Drosophila melanogaster: one gene and its partner. The protein of the gene in region 2 interacts with the protein of the main gene of each other region in a pairwise test. Each region holds a gene or a part of one and is shown on either strand. Other genes may lie near its edges.

Region 1 (9,901 bases), on a different chromosome or scaffold from region 2:
CTCCTTGGACTCTTCGCGCATCTCCTTCTCCACGGAAACGAGTTTTTTGCTTTTGAACTTGCCCAGCTGCATGAGCACCAGCTCATCATAGGGTTCGTAGCAGAAGAGCACCAGCTCGTTGCGCTTCTTCAGACTCTCGTAGTAGGGCGAGGACTCGGCAAGAACGCGGTTGGGTGCTGCCAAGTAGTAAATATTCTGCTGTTCTGCGGGAACGGCGTTGTAGTACTCCTCCAGCGACATGCGCCCACTGGCGGTCTCCGACTTGGAGGATTCAAAACGCAGAAGTTTAGCTATTTCTTCTTTCTCGGAGGCGTCGCTGGAGGTTACAATTCCTTCCTTCAGGAAAAGCCCATAGTCCCGGTAGAAGGCCTCGTACTCTTCTGGCTGCTTCTTGGACCGCTCTTGCAGGAAACGGATAACGCGGGTGGAAATCACACTGGACAGTTTGCGAATCAGGCTGCTGTTCTGGAGCAGCTCGCGACTCAGGTTGAGTGGAATGTCCTCAGAGTCGACAACACCCTTTACAAAACGCAGCCACTTGGGCAGCAGATGCTCAGTCTTGGACTGAATAAGCACCTTGCGGGTGTAAAGAGCCACACCGGTGTTTCCGTCCCGAGACATCTCGAATAAACCAGGCTTTCCTTCGGGGAAGTAGAGCAGTGCATGGATGCTCAAGGGTACGTCAGCATTATAGTGTAAGGTGAAGCGCGGGACATCGAAGCTATTGCTAATGAACCGATAGAAGTCATGGTGCTGCTCCTTGCTGATGCTTTGTGGCTCAAGAAGCCACAGAGGCTTGATCTCATTGGCCTGCTTTCCGTTAAGCAAGATGGGTGAGCCCACAAAGTTGCTGTATTTCTTGATTACCGCCTTGATCCTCTCCTCGTCCGCATATTCACGGCAATCGGTCTTTAAATGAAGCACGATTCGCGTTCCCAACTCAACGTCAGGCACCTCTTCGATCTCGTAGGTTCCACTGCCATCCGTGGACCAACGCAGTCCGGGTGCATTAGGCACAGCCGCCCTCGTGAACACCTCCACCTTATTGGCGACAATGAAGGAAGAGTAAAAGCCCACGCCGAACTGACCAATAATGTTCGAGGATGCCTCCGAGCTGGCTCCCTGCTGGGTCCCCTTCATCTGCTCCAGGAACTTCTTCGAGCCGCTGCGTGCAATGGTGCCCAGGTTGCTGACCAGCTCCTCCTTGGTCATGCCGATGCCCGTGTCCTGGATGATTAGCTGCATCAGTGGCTTGTCGGTGGTGATACGAATCTCCAGAGGCCGGTCCTTTCCAGCCAGATTCTCGCCTCCAGCGCTCAACGAGGTGTACCGAAATTTCTCCAGCGCATCGCTTGCATTCGAAATAAGCTCGCGCACAAAGACCTCGTGGTCGGAGTATAAGGAACGAGCCACAATGTCAAGTAGCTGGCGCGTCTCTGCCTGGAACTCATGCTTGTCCACCACTGATCCTGATGCCTGCTTGGTCTCCGTGGAGTAGCGACGGAGCGAGAGAGCTGCAAGTGAAAAGATGAGTGTTATGTAAACATAAGAATCCCTCCGGGGAGCCGGTTGCTTATATTCAGTGCTTACCACCCGGCGAATGCTGCGATCCAATGGTGATATTGAACGCTGCTGGGGCGGATCGGTGACTCTGCCTCAACACTTGGGCACAGCGACCGAGGCGGCACGCCTGGCCCAGCACTCCCATCGCTCGTACAGACATCTTGTTGTTTTAATGTTTTGCCCAACTTTAATGTTACCCAACTACGAAGTTTGTTCCAGCGCACATGTGTGCACAGTGTAGCCAAATCAATCGATTGTAAGTATTCGATAATAGTAAACTGGTAAAACCCTACTCATAACGGTGTTTTCTTCCAAATTTCTGGGCTGTAATGAATTTTGGACTCAAATGCTTAGTTGGTTTGAATAAGAGTTACTACATGTAATGGAGAGTTCAGTTTCATCACATTATTCAGCTCAAAACTGAAGCAAACTGCCAGCTGACTAGTTCTCTAAAGATTTCGATCAGCAAGAGAGAGAGAGAGAGATAGAGATGTTTCAACTGTGAACAACAAACCGTAAATTCTGAAGGAATTAAGAACAGATTACGTTTCATTGTTTAGCCAATGTAGATTGGATGCTGATTTTTGAGTTATGAAATAACAAATGTCTTCAAAGAAGACAGTAAATAAAAGAAAGTTAAATCAAATCCAATATTGAAAGACATCGATACCTCATATCGATATACGGTCCAATTGCTGACAGCCCTGCTCGTGAATGCAACTCTGCTGTAGCGCGTCAGCGTCGCGTTGTAATTTTTGTTGAGTTTTTTAAATAATTTTAATTAGCATCTGCGTGTCTTACTATTAGAATATCATGTGTTAAGTGTTTCCCATTCACGCCACCACACAAAAAGATCCAATCATGAGCGCCACCACCATCGACAACGTACGGGTGCTGCTTCAGTCGCTGCCTGCTGCCGCCGTAAACAGCGCCACTCAGCCGGGCGATCTACAGACGCCGGGCAAGATTGCGGCCCCAGCGACTCCCCTTCGCGCCAAGAATCCCGCCCAATTACAGATCATGCCGGAGAAGGTCGAGGAGATGCCGCCGTCACCTCCGGAGGAGTTCTGGAGGGACCTGCAGCAGTTTCACGAACGACGCGGGTGAGTTGCCGCGGCTCTCCTGTATTTGGAGACGACCTAACCCACTTTCCCTCTGCCCAAACAGCACTCCATTGACACAGCCCGCCAGGATCAGCGGTAAGCATGTCGACCTGTACAAGCTGTACAACGAGGTAACCGAACGAGGCGGCTTTAATAAGGTGACCATGCGGGACGAGTGGGACGAGGTGTACAGCGCCATGGAGACATTGCGGGAGCGCTGCGTTAACGGAACGGCTAGTATCAAGCACATCTACAGACGCTACCTGGACAAGTACGAACGGTTGAACTTCTTTGGCGAGGATCCAGACAAGATGGAGGCTCTGGAGGCGGCTATTGAGATTGTAGAAATGGGCGGTGGACGCTCGCGATCTCGTTTTTTGGCTGGCGCCGGTGGTGGCCTAGGAAGCATTTTTGGATCAGCACACTCTACGTTGCCGGCGGTGCCAATGGCCTACAACCAGCGCCAGCACTCTGTTAATGTGGAACGACGCCGACAGTACAAGATGTCCACGCAGTTGCACCGACACAGCAGCTACGAGAAGCTGCTGTTGTCTCTGCTTTCTCCGCTGCCCAATGAGCAGGACTTCGCCATAAACGTGTGCACACTTATGGCCAACGAGGCGCGCCACACCCTACAGCTGTCCGAGTGCCCCAAACTGCTTGATGTGCTGCTTGCTCACCTGGGAGTCTACGCTGACTTCACCATGCGCCAGCTGTTCCAGCACAGTTACACCGAGGTTCGACACCATTCGCAGCTCAGTTTCTGGCGCGACCTGCTACACGACAAGCCACAGGTCCTAGAGCTCTACACGGATGAGCAGGCCTGGCTGGACAACGGTCTGATAAGTAAGGAGGACGGTGAGAACTCTGCCGCTCGAAGTGAACTGCTGGCGGCCTGCGACGAGTTGCACTTCCTTAATCTGCGCCGGAGCAACGGGACTGATGAGCGCATGGGCCAGCGAGTGCTTCAGATTGTCCAGCTAGTCCGTACACTCAGCTTTCATCAGGAGAATCATGCACTCTTGGCCTCCAACCGCACGTTGTGGCGATATTTGGTCATGGGAGCAAACGTACGATGGAGTAAGTTTTTTTTATCTGCTTAGAAATTATATTTTTTGGCGCTTTGAATGTACGAAGTATCAAGGTGCTATCATAAATACACTGCAAGGAAATTGACTATTGCGTAGCATAGCAATCCCGAAAGAATCAATTTAAAATAAAATAACTGAAACACGTTTCGCTCGTTCTAGGCAACATTCACATCCAGGCCCTCGAGACCGCTGGCAACCTGGCTCAACAATTTGAGCTGCTAGACCCCACCACTGACGAGCTATCGCGGAATCTTTTAGCTACTCTCTGCGAGGGTATTGACTCTAACGACCGCGCGGTGATCATGAGCTGTCTGGAGATACTCTATAAGTTGTGCGGACGAGAAGGCAATTCGCAGCACATCAATCGTTGCCTTGGCCTGGACTTTTACCAGCGAGCCATGTTGCTCCTCTCGCTTACCGACGTCATGATGATTATCTTTACGCTGGAGGCAGTTTACGCACTAAGTGCTCTTGGCGCTCGGCCATGTTCGATGCTGATGCAAGTACGTGGCCTAATAGACCAGCTGGTGACCCTTATCACAGTGGAGGCTCAGTCATATGGCACAGGCGGTTGCATATTAATGCGTGTCGTAGAGGTTTTCCCCGGAAACATGGCTGCCTCGCTGGCTCAGAACATGCCCGCCATTCTTGCTCCAGGTCCCACTTCCCTGACTACACTTCCAACATCGCTGCAAGTAGCTGTTAAACCGCCAGCAGTTTTACCCACGCCTACACCCGCCCAGACGCAAGTGCTGCCTCACGGAGAGCAAACACCCTTGGTTACAGCTCTCCCCGGTCTGCCAATGCCCAGTCTGCCACAGGTTCAATTGCCTGTACCCAGTCTGCCGCAGGTACAATTGCCACCAATCGCTGCCACCGTGACCCTTCCCAGTCTGCCCTCCGCCTCCCAGAGTTTTACACACGAGGACGAACAGTATGCGCTGGCTTGGCTGGGAGCCACGTATGAACGGGCTGGGAACGGTAACGATCTCCGTGTGGAACAAGCGGAACTATACAGAATATATTTATCGCATTGCCAGAAGGCGGGTAAGCTTTCAGTGGTTAATCACATGCAGTTTCCTCGTCTAGTGCGGCTTATATTTAATCAATCGGTGGGACCAGTAATTGTACGGCACCTGGACGGAATAGAGCTACCTGGGACGTACTACGTAGGCATTAGGATGCGAGCTCAGCCGCTAGCCATGCAACAGAGACCCACCCCCAGCATTGTTCCTGTTAAAAAGGACACGCCAATATTGCCCAAGCAACCATTTAGTGATCCTGTTCAAACGGAAGTGGCGTCTGAGGAAAGCGTTTCTTCTGCAGTCACGCCACCCCCAAGCTCCTCGCTCATCAAAAGCTTGTTGGCCAACAAGGTAACTGAACGCCAACAGAAGCAGAAGGCCCAAGCTCAGACGCCGCAGCCGCCAGCCCTTGTGGCTACCACGGCATCGGGCACAAATGCTACCCAGCCCATCAAGGTAACCTCAACAGCTATAAGCGCCTTCGTGAACAACCCGCTAATGCAGCACACACCGGTGAAGGTGGGTCAGACTACCATTAAGCCGTTGCACCCCCAGATGGCCATCGAAAAGAAGCCAATCACTGATTCGGCCCCGCCACCTCTCGCTCCATTGAGTGGTGCAAACGTAGTGACGAAAGACGCCAGCGGGCGCACTCTCATCATTGCATCAGCAGCTGCCAAACGAAAATTAACCATTGACGAGGAGCAGAATAAGCGTCTGGCTTTAGATGCCGCTGCCAGCAGTTCCAGCAGCTCATCTTCTGGCGGCAAGGAAGAAGCGCAGGTGACTCCCTCGAAGAATGCAGCCAATCTCTATGCGGATCTGGCGGCATCTATTTTGGAGGATGAGGATATGGATGACGTTCCACCGCTGGCCAAACCAAGCCAGGAGCAAAGCCAGCAGCACCCGCAACAGGCACAGCAGCTTCAACTCATTCCGGCTAAAGTGCAACCAACCCAACGTCAACTTGTTTTCCCCGGTAGCAATGTGGTTTCTCCAGCTCCGCATTCCCAACTAAAACTTGCCACCACGGCCACCATAAAGACGGATCAGGGCTTGCAAACTGTGCCAGTGATCCTGCAGCCCAAGACTGCAATGGATTCCACGCCAGCTCCGCAGACGCAATATGTTCTGGCCACCAACCAGCAAGGCCAGACGTATCTTGTGGCCCAGCAGCCGACTATTCCGACATCCACGCAGTCGGCACCACCCACTCTGCTGGTGACGCAAACACCACAACAACAAACGAAGACCATAATAATCCTGCAGCAGCCAGGAGGAGTCTCTGCGGCGAACGTGGCTGGCACTCAGAAAATGATAATGACAACGGCGCAGGGCCAGCAGGTCCTGGTTACCACCACCACAGCTCCACAACTGGCCCAACCGCGTACTTCTACCCCCCAGCAGCAAATCTTTATCGCACCCCAGCGACCAGTTCCGGCGTTGGGTGCTGGCCAAATGTCGCCTTCACTGCTGTCGCAGTTGAACCAGATCCCGGCTACTATAAAGCTTCATCAGCCCCAACCACAGCCGCAGCTCGTTTCGCCGCAATTAGCACCCCAGCAGCGATTAGTTGCCGCAAAGCCGGGCGCTTCATTGCCCATTCCTCAGCTCCAGCAACATCAGTCTATCATCCAGCAACACATAATCTCGGGCCCCTCCACTCCTACTTCCACAGTTGGCGGTACGGTTGGTGGGGAAAAGAGGCAGGTAATTCTGGGCGGAATCAAGGAGACCACGCTAATTACCCAGACGTCGGCCACACCGGCTCCCCTGCAGCAAAGCCAGCTTAACTCGCAGACGATCATCACTCAGTCACCTACCAGCACGGCTATCGTAGGAGGCGTGGCTCTTCAGCAGCAACATCACATTCGATCTGTGTTGGACCAGCAGCAGCAGCATCATCCATCCATCATCCAACAGAAGATAACCATGCCGGCAGTAAGTTGGGAACTGGGGCCGAAATTAAAGAATTATTATTTTTTTTTAAGTATATATACAAGGGTCATTGAAAAGTATGTAAACAGCTTAAAATTTGATTTCATAATATGCCCATGCCCGTTCTAAATCCCATAAATCGCATCACATTCACATTCCCCATTTTTAAATGTTTCCATCGCGTTTTCACTACTTGAGTGGCGGGTTTTACAGGATCTCTTTTCTAAATAGCCAACAGGTGTATGGTAATAAGAATTGTGCTAAGATGACTAAAACAAATATTTTAATATATTATTTTAGATTTCCGAAGCGACCAAACCGAAAATAGCACCCGTTCCAGTTTCACCAACTGTAACTCTCCTAGCAAAAAAGCCGGCGCCGCCACAACCTGCTCAAGTATCTAGCCCCAAGCCATCAGTCACCCAGGCTGTTGTGGTAACGACGTCAGGAACTAGTGATTCAACGGAAGGCGGCAAAACAGTTGTCTTAGCAACCAGCGAGGCCAAGCCAGCGGAATCAGAGGTAGTAGCACAGACGGTTGTCCCACCTGCTGTCGTAACTACAGGTCCCAGCAGCAGTTCTTTGGTTGTCAGTCAGAGCGTCTACGCTGCTTCTGGCCCGAATGCCAACCCCACGCCCTCTCCCATGCCCGTGGATGCAAATTGGTTGTACATCTGCGACTGGCGGAACTGTCCCCGCAAGAAATTCAAGTCTCTTAACGAGCTGCAGTACCACGTGTGCAGTGTCCACTGTCCAGATCACCTTGATTCTGATGCCGACATTTATTGTCAGTGGGGCAGCGGACCCAACTTCTGCGACAACAGAGCGCGCAAACGGTACTCATTGATGACGCATCTGATTGACCGGCACCTGACAACGGAGAACTTGCGCGCCAGTGTGCAACGTCGCCTGGCAACTGGGATTCACAATGTGGCGCCCACCCAGGCTCCCGTGACCATAGTGCGCAACGAGGGTCATGCCCAACGATTGGCGGGAGGCGCTACTGGTTCACCTTCGGGTCCTGCTTCAGCGGTTCCAGTCGTTGGCAGCGCCGCAATGCAAGCTATGAACCGACACACGACTGATTACACGAACGCTAAAGAGCTGATGGACGAAAATGAGGGTCCAGTCACCAAGAGCATCCGTCTGACAGCGGCGCTCATTATACGCAACCTGGTCACCTACTCGGCTACGGCCAAGAGAAGCCTGAAACGCTATGAGTCACGCTTGGCCAATGTCGCCTTTAGCAATGTGGAGGCTAGCGGAGTGCTCTCCCACATCATGTACGAATTGAGCCAGTAAGCCGATATAGCTTACCATCAATATGATTATTTAACTGACTTGTAAGAACGACACTAAAAAAATGTGAAAAGCAAACCATACCTTGTTTGTCTAAATGATTCATACCATATAGCACCAAAATATGGGAGATTCGGGAGTAAGATTTTAATTTGACTTCTACAATTCTACGAGGCTTAGAATTAAAGAGCTATGGTGGACATTATCAGATATACTCCTGGTTAGCAAATAAACGTTTTGAATTAATCGTTCAAAACATACTTTGATTTACATTGTTCTTATAAAATATTAATTAACACATCTGAGTTATAATCCGTTAAAAGAATCCGAACCGAAGAGTCCGCTAAATCTTCGTGTACTACAGTGAAACACTTTTTATCGCCTAACGTAAGATATTAGAATGGGATGAAATCAGGTTCATCATACAATAGCTTCTCCGTTCTTCAAAAAGTTTTCATCGTCCAAAATCGTATACTTGTTGCTCCTGTACGTGTCCAATTCAAAAATGTACTTCTTGCCGCAGTCCTTCATTAGCTTGTGGATAACTGGCTTGATGTTCTCGATGCCCGCGATACTGGCCAGTTCATTGTAGTAGACAAACTGAAATTACAGATAAAAGATTGTTTTATATATGTTCTCTGCTTGTAAAAGTCTTTAACAAATAAGTCTACATAAGCTAATATTTTTAATTTCTTATACAGGGTATTGTGAACACTCACCTGTCGCTCGCCCATCTGATGTGCTTTCTTCTGGTTGCGCACGCCGCAGCCCCACCGCTCTCCGATCTCCTGCTCCAGATCGGCAATCATCTGCTCCCGGGAGGGAAACTTCCGCTGACCTGTGAAGAACTTCAGCGTGAAGCGCACCTGCATGTCGAAGATGTGGGTGGGAATCACGTTGAAGGGCAGGCCCACAAAGGCCATGGTCGGGTGGTTGATGTTGATGCAGTGCTTCCACAGTGGCTGCACGAAGTTGTCTATCACCTGGACACCCACATCGGTGCTGAGGCAGGGGAATGTGTACTTGTAGCCGGTGCAGAACATCACGTGGTCAAAGCTCTCCGTGCTGCCGTCCGTGAAGACGGCTCCATCCTTTGTGAAGCGTTTCACATCCGGCTTCTGCGTTACGTTGCCCATGAATGCTGTGTTAGGGGTCGTGGAAAGGTGGTGGCTTAGGAAGACCTGCTTGGCAGCCAAGCGAACATGGTTGGTGATGTCCATGCCACTGGGGCCGGCGCCAATGATCAGCACACGCGCGTCTGTAAGAAAAACAATTTAGCCGGTAAATGTTTTGGTGCCAAATAGGTTTTTGCGCAGATAAATTAAATGGAAGTGGGGAAACTTAGACAGTCTCTGTTTGGTTTAACACGCTAGTCAACGATCATGTAACATATATCATGGATGGCTCATGTAGTAAAGCTTCTATCATTTTATAAAACAAAAGTTTTATGTGGATATATAAACCTTTCAGGATTTAAAAGATCACCGAATCCTAACCGTGCAATGCAACACCAAATGCAGTATTCTATTCTATATCAACAGGTTTAAGATTTTAGTTCAGTTGTTACTATAAAATTTCTGATATATATACACTGCTCTTAAAAACTACAATGGTTGGCATCTTTCCAAAGGACTCTCCCGATCTCCGTCTTACTTTTCTATCTACAATCTGATAAGTAGCGTTTTGAGATCTCCCACAGTGCCAGCTATCAGCAGTTAAGCACGTGCTAGAGGAGCTCGAAATTGGCACAGACCCACTACACTTATTATAATTATGTCACACAGCCGTCAACAACATTATCTGCAGTCGAGGGCCGAGTTGTTTATGGGGAAAACAAGAGTGGGACTCCGTCCAGACGGCGATGGAGGCGAAGTCCGAAGCT
Region 2 (7,209 bases):
TGGGCAACGACCTGGACCAGGTCAAAAATAACGAGAAGCTGCAGGCTATTCTCACGCAGGCCACCATTATGATTGTGTCAGTCACGGCGTCCACCACACAGGGGTAAGTTATTTGAACGGTGTAACCCAAAATAACATGTCACTGAATCCCATTCCCTTTCGCAGAACCATGCTGACACCGGCGGAGAAGGCAAAGATCGACGAGGCCTGCGAAATGGCCATCGAACTGAATAACTTCAAGTCCAAGATCTACGAGTATGTGGAAAGTCGCATGACCTTCATAGCCCCAAATCTTTCCATGATTGTTGGAGCATCGACGGCGGCTAAACTCTTGGGCATTGCTGGTGGCCTTTCCAAATTATCCAAAATGCCGGCCTGCAATGTTCAGGTGTTGGGTGCACAAAAGAAAACCCTCTCGGGCTTCTCACAAACGCAGATGTTGCCGCACACTGGCTATGTGTACTACTCACAGATTGTGCAGGATACTGCGCCAGATCTGCGACGCAAGGCAGCTCGCTTGGTGGCCGCCAAGTCCGTGCTGGCTGCTCGTGTTGATGCCTGTCATGAGAGTGTCCACGGGGAGATTGGACTGCGCTTCAAGGAGGATGTGGAAAAGAAGCTGGACAAGCTGCAGGAGCCGCCGCCGGTGAAGTTCATAAAGCCGCTGCCCAAACCCATCGAGGGAAGCAAGAAGAAGCGAGGAGGCAAACGCGTGCGCAAGATGAAGGAACGATATGCGCTGACAGAGTTCCGCAAGCAAGCGAACCGCATGAATTTCGGAGACGTAAGTTTCTGGCTTAAAAATATAATGGTTATGTATTAATCTTTGAACTTTTCTTTCAGATCGAAGAGGATGCCTACCAAGGAGATCTGGGCTATTCACGCGGCACCATCGGCAAAACTGGCACCGGCCGCATCCGATTGCCCCAGGTGGATGAGAAGACCAAGGTGCGCATTAGCAAAACGTTGCACAAGAATCTGCAGAAACAGCAGGTGTACGGCGGCAACACCACGGTCAAACGCCAAATCTCCGGAACGGCATCCAGTGTGGCCTTTACGCCACTGCAAGGTCTAGAGATTGTGAATCCGCAGGCGGCGGAGCGTTCGCAGACGGAGGCCAATGCCAAATACTTTTCAAACACATCCGGATTCATGTCAGTGGGACAGCGGACCACTTAAGAGAACAGCTCTATCCTTATTTTCTATAAAATTAAGCACTTTTATTTGGAGATTTGTCGAATGTATATTGAGTTAGGCGTAGTAAAGCTGCATAAGAGATTCGAATTGTTGTTAGCTGAGCTTGCCGACTTCCAGTTTCCGTTGAATGGCCTCCCACGAGTTGTTCAGCAGCACGGCGAGAATGCCGGCCACCGTGAACACGCCTCCGATGATGGAACAGCAATTCGTGGCGAAGTGGCCAAATGAGCTGGGAATACACAACACAACCAATAAAACTTGTAAAATTAACCATTAGCTTTGTGGCTTACTGACCTGTGTCTCTCCGCATATTTCACCATCAGTGGCGAGAGCTCGTAGCTGAAGAATATCCCCGGCATTCCGCGCTCGCGATCTGAAAGATCTTTTCGGTATCGCGTGACGGAGAATTGATTCGTGTATATGGGCTCGCCGTCGCTGTTTCCTCGCATATATAATGTGGGAACAATTTTTAAATAGTAATTGAACATTTCACTTTTGGTTTCTGCAAAAAGAGGAGAGCAGATTTTCTAGTTTACTTCATTTGTCGTTGATAAATGTATTTAATTTGGTAAGGTAATTACGAATTAAACTTCATGCTTCTAAAAACAGGTATTTCACAATTCGAACAAATGAGTATATTTTTTCCAATTTAAAAAATGAAAATGCCCCACACAACAGACCTCCGAAGTTTCCCAGAAATTCTTCGAGGAGTAAAATATAAATTAAAATGGATGCCTGTGCTTAAATAACTTAGTTTTTTTTTATTTCAGTCTTAAGTATGCTTTTTAATAATATTAATAAATAAAGAATATAAATTGATTTTAAAGCACCCGCTTTTTAGCTACCGCCCCCTATCGGCTTTCTCTAGAACGAGGCAAGCCGAGCGAAAAACAAAGTGGCAACCCTTCTATAATTTGACAGCTCACGCACACCATCACTCAGCTGCTCACACTCACACGTTTACGAATTATTCGACTAGTCGGTGCCGAAATAAATAGAAATATTTTGAATATTCCTAAAATAAACGAACCTTCTGCGAGATTCATAAGTGCGTCGGAGCAGCGGAGCTTGCTACTCAGCGGTATCAACTCATATAGAGCCGGTGAACCAGGAAAACCACGGACTTAGCGGCATGCCTCTGCCTACGAGCTCATTTTCCCAGCAGGGACCAACGTGCTTCGATAAGATGAAGACGGGCTTCATCATCGGATTCTGCGTGGGCATGGCCAGCGGTGCGGTCTTTGGCGGGTTCTCGGCGCTCAGGTTAGTTGGACTTTGCACTCGGATGCTCCACTTAGCGCTCCTCCAAAGAAGTGACGCAAGTGGAGGCCGGCAATTATGTAATTACTCCGGCTAACTAACGAACCACATTGAAATACACTTTAGATACGGACTACGCGGGCGGGAGCTGATCAACAACGTGGGCAAGACCATGGTCCAGGGCGGCGGAACCTTTGGCACCTTTATGGCCATCGGCACGGGGATTCGCTGCTGATCCTGCTGGCATTTGACTAGAGTTACTAAACAACCACAACCTTAAGCCCTACTCCAATCTTGTTTAAATTACGCTAAGTTATTGCAATAGAGATGTTACAGAATTACGAGTCCGTGTTTGTGTTCACTACTCACCAGCCACGTCGACTCGTAGTCCATCCAAGGGATGCGTCTTGGCGAACTCTATCTTCTCGCCGAACGATAGGTGATTGATTGTGTGCGATAGCTTCACATTGCTGAACTGAAAGTCATGGATGTGGAACTGGCGGATGGAGAAGCTCTTGCCGGGCGCAAAGTGAAAGCTGCCGGCCATTCGATTCACTTCCAGGTGACCCTGGATGCGACAGCCCTCCTTGAAGGCGTCCTCGTCGCTGCGTTTGTACTTGCCCTTACATTGCTCGATCTTGTCCACGGCCACGGTCCATTTGCGCAGCCGGTAGGCGTCGAGAACATCCTCGCACGTGTTGCAGCAGCTAGATAGGATGGTAGTTGGTATTAAAAGGGGGAGATTAGAAAGCCATTGCTATAATTAGCTCTAGATACAGATATCTCCTTAGATAAATCTTGTCAGCGAAAATAGGTGGAACTAATGGTTGAACTTAGAAGCTGTTCACTATCTTACTGAGTAGCATTGTGCTCCGCTCCGTAACAACTGCCGCAAGTGACATTCTTATTGGGCGGCGAAACTGCAACGATTTCCTTGATGGGCGTCTCCTTGAGGGGCTCGCCATTGAGATCCAGCCGGTGCTTAAAGACGTCGTGGTCCACCCTCAAGTGTGTGTCGCCAGATGAATCCATTGCGTCCAATGAGATGTAGTTGCACGCCAGATTATGCAGTGTCACGTCCAGATTTATTCTCAACTTGTGATCACGAGTGGTGTCCACGAAGAGCTCTTCATTTAGGGTTGGCTGCATGTAGTTGAGGACCTCGAGGAAGATCAGTAGGCTTATGATGCTGGTACTGATAATTGTAACTGAAAATCAGAGAAAAGCCGGTTGTTTGGGTTCCTTAACGCCACAATCAATTGTACACCTGCACCCACCTGCGGCGCCGCCCACTGTGCGAACGCTGAAGTCATCCAGTGTGCGGGGATAGGCGTCCAGGCGACGCAGCACGTCGGCGAACTTCATCGTGAACACGTAAAAGGAACAAAACAGACGAAATGCAGACGTAAACAATAAATATTACATCGTTTTTGCACAAGACAGGTGACGTGTTGAAATTGGCGTTGCCAGTACGCCGCAATGGTACGGCCAAACAGATGTTCGCTGTGGTTCGGTTCGATTGACTGTTATCGTATCCGTATCTACATGCCAGCTCTTACTTTACATGTCGCATTTTACATGTTAAAAATCGGGCGAGATGCAGTAATTGTAGATAAGTATGCAGTTTTAAAAATAAATGGGCCACATCAAGAAATCTTAAAACTATTTTATCCGTTTATAAGAGGTAAATGCCATTGACACAATATAAAACGCTTATTTAAGTGCTTATCTTATTAACATAGAAACTTATGATTAGATCTTACATTGCATTACAATAGCAACATGCATGCCAATTATTACATTTCAAAAAAATACAATTTAAAATTATAAAGGTTATAAAAATGTTTTTATTTTAAGCAAAGTTTTGCTGAAACTGCATGATTATTTAATGTTAAAATTTAGCTCTTATAGTTCCCAAAATTTGATTCGTCTGGTGGTATTGATTTTGATACACACTTTACATTTACTGTTTATTAACGAATACAAAATACCCTCACTGACTATAAGCAATGATTTAAAAAAATCCAATGTCAAGCCTTACATTTATATAAGCTTTAACTTTTACTTAGGCGATTTTTTGATTTCATCCTTCATTAGCCGGAGCTTTACCCCATTGATTGCGCATACGCCGCGTTGGCCCGGCGACAATTAGGACCTCCGCTTGGCCGTCCTTTCCCATGGCCACGAATAATGTTTAATAGTGTTGTCATGTCTTGGGGTTGTGGTTGTGCATACATTAGGCCGCCATTGCCCACCATCGGCAATAACACCACCCCCCCACTCAGACGCCTTAACCCACTGCTGCTGCTGTGGTCCAGGAGACCGCGTCTAATTTTATAATACATGTTAAACAGATGAAAGGTTAATTGAAAGGAACCACAAGTTTCGACAGCCCGCGCAGCTAATGCTTAGCTTTTAGGGGTTGCAACCCCCACACCCCACAAACCCCTTTCAAAGAAGCGGACTAATAGAAGACCGTGGTTTATCCCCGGGGATTTTGGTTAAAGTTAAAAGTTTTCGCCTAAATATAAATCACCAAATGGCTTTTCGCCCGACTGATTGAAGGTCCATGAACCCAGCATCCATGTAGGGTCACAAATAATTGTATGTAGGTGTAGAACATACCGCGACTTTGTGTAATTACCAATTAAGCTCAAGTTCCCGATGCTTTCTCATTTTCCTGGCCACTCTACAGTTTCCTTTGTCATTTCTTTCGCCGACTTCACTTTTTTTTTGCAATTACCTGGACAAGAAATCTGTAAAATCAGGCAAGGCAGCAGATGACAAAGATTAGCCAGCGGTAATTTTACACTTTTTTTACTTTCTAAATTAAAGTAAATGGATTGGAAAGGGTATGGAATAGAGCATCACGCTTTGGATCTGGGAAAGTTCATAAAAAAGTGGAAGTGTCAGTTTTAACAATGTGTAACTGTATGTATAAATATGTAAATATGTAAATATGTGAATATGTAATATGTAATATGTATGTATAAATAATAAACAATGATACCATGGATTTTTAATATATAACAGCTTGACTTTGACCTTACACATTTTCAAATAAAGTTTTTTTTATTTAGGCCTTAAGCAAAATTTAAAAGTGACATATACTTCGAGATATAAACTCAATTTTTGAATCTATCCTTTCTAAAAAATTGCCACAAAGTTCTTAGTCCTTTTATGGGTCACTTTTAAATTGGATTTGAAAATGTCTCAAAAATATTTATCCCTTGGCTTCGCCGACTGACAAGTTCATAGCCCTTTTTCCTAGTATATCCTCTTATATTTGCGCAACTTATGGCCACAGGGCATTCGGGTTTTCTGCCATGGCCATTTCCCTCGACCACGCCCACTCTTATCTCCCGCTAATTTGCATTTCTAACCATTTCGCTCTAGCCAATTCGCGTCATTTCTTATTTGAAACAATGAGCCCAACATCAGCCAGAACAAATAGCGGAGAAGGAGTCATTGTGCTACGGCTTTGCCGGCAATAAAAGACTCCGGAGACAAAAGAACCGGGCTAAAAAAAAAGAGCGAGAAGAGAGCGTGTCAAGAAACTTGGAACCCGGAGCCGGAGAATGGGTAAAGAAAGCCAGAAGAGAAGTTGGCGTAAAGCAGCTTAAACAATCAGGACTGCCTAATGGATATTGACACTTTAATGCCCTGGCCACCAACCCAGGCTCTGATTCCGATTTCGAATACGCACTGCGAAAAAACCATCTTCATTATTTAAATTTAAATGCAAGGCACATAGATACACAATTAGGTACATATTAATCTACTGACACGCTAACTCAAATTCACTTTTTCCTTCCCATAGTCAAGGAAGTGCTATTATTCATAATAATATTCAAGAGGAACTTGCTTTTTGTACTTACTTACGTATCTATAGTATAAATAGATAGCACTATCACATTTTGAAGTAAATTAAAAAACTAAATGAAATAAACAATTATAAGACGCTTTAAGATTTATTGTAAACTATATTTTGAAATGCAAGTGAAAATTTAATTAGCTCATACTAAATCAAACTAAAAGGGCGCAATTTTCCCTCCGTGTAGATTTCAAATTGATATTGGATTGGGGGAATCCCCGCGCGGGAGGCTGTATCCATCCGTGCAGATGTCCTGCTCTAATTCGGTTCGGTTTTCAGCTCGCCGTGGCACAAACATATATTTTTTTTTTTTTGCCTGGGCCGCATTCTTTGCTTTAAACAAAATTGCAGTGCCGAAATTAATTATAGAGCCGCCGCAGCCGAGCCATATTTAATTAAACGTGGACATTTTCAACTTGGAACAGCCGAGCGAACCACTGAGCCACCCAAAAAAGGACGTGGAGCCAAAAGGCGTAATTAATTAGTGGAGACGTGCCAAATAATTGCGGCAGAAGTAAGTTTTTTCCTTTTTCGGGCGACTCCTTTATAATTTCGCTGGTCAAGGAATGTTTCAATTACGTGTATTGCTGATGGGCGATTGGGTTTGGGGGTTTTTTGGGAGCTGAGAGCTGCGAGCTGCTTCCTGCGGCAGGACTAAACTTTTCTGCCATCGGGCCAGGTGGGAATTAATTAAATTAGCAGGCGTCATTTTGGAAAAGCGTCGCGCAAAGACTTAAAATATTCGGCGACTCGTGCTCCGGTCTCCTGTCACTCAAATCGGCCATCAAATTTGGTGCTTTGCCACCCGAAAATTGCTATAAATGGGCTGTGAAAATTCACATACATAAAGTCCACATCCGTTGGCTGAATAACCAAAA

The links.
Region 1: the proteins of CG7011 (region 2) and Bap170 interact in a two-hybrid assay, tested with the Drosophila melanogaster proteins (one large-scale study listed by BioGRID).

What each region holds. Positions count from the first base shown.
Region 1 is NT_033778.4:6,634,265-6,644,165, forward strand, and holds Bap170 (brahma associated protein 170kD), read left to right. Parts: upstream 1-2,247; 5' UTR 2,248-2,424; coding exon 2,425-2,666; intron 2,667-2,730; coding exon 2,731-3,746; intron 3,747-3,916; coding exon 3,917-6,723; intron 6,724-7,020; coding exon 7,021-8,022; 3' UTR 8,023-8,094; downstream 8,095-9,901. Other genes in the region: Trap1, read right to left, coding at 1-1,514, 1,591-1,723; Fmo-2 (Flavin-containing monooxygenase 2), read right to left, coding at 8,440-8,619, 8,739-9,277.
Region 2 is NT_037436.4:15,159,674-15,166,882, forward strand, and holds CG7011 (uncharacterized protein), read right to left. Parts: upstream 3,956-7,209; 5' UTR 3,823-3,955; coding exon 3,735-3,822; intron 3,666-3,734; coding exon 3,314-3,665; intron 3,165-3,313; coding exon 2,827-3,164; intron 2,798-2,826; exon of another isoform or gene 2,693-2,797; coding exon of another isoform or gene 2,584-2,692; intron 2,461-2,583; coding exon of another isoform or gene 2,330-2,460; exon of another isoform or gene 2,144-2,329; intron 1,700-2,143; coding exon 1,492-1,699; intron 1,466-1,491; exon of another isoform or gene 1,427-1,465; coding exon 1,291-1,426; 3' UTR 1,203-1,290; downstream 1-1,202. Other genes in the region: Prp31 (Pre-mRNA processing factor 31), read left to right, coding at 1-103, 166-784, 844-1,179; CG6878 (uncharacterized protein), read left to right, coding at 2,330-2,460, 2,584-2,692.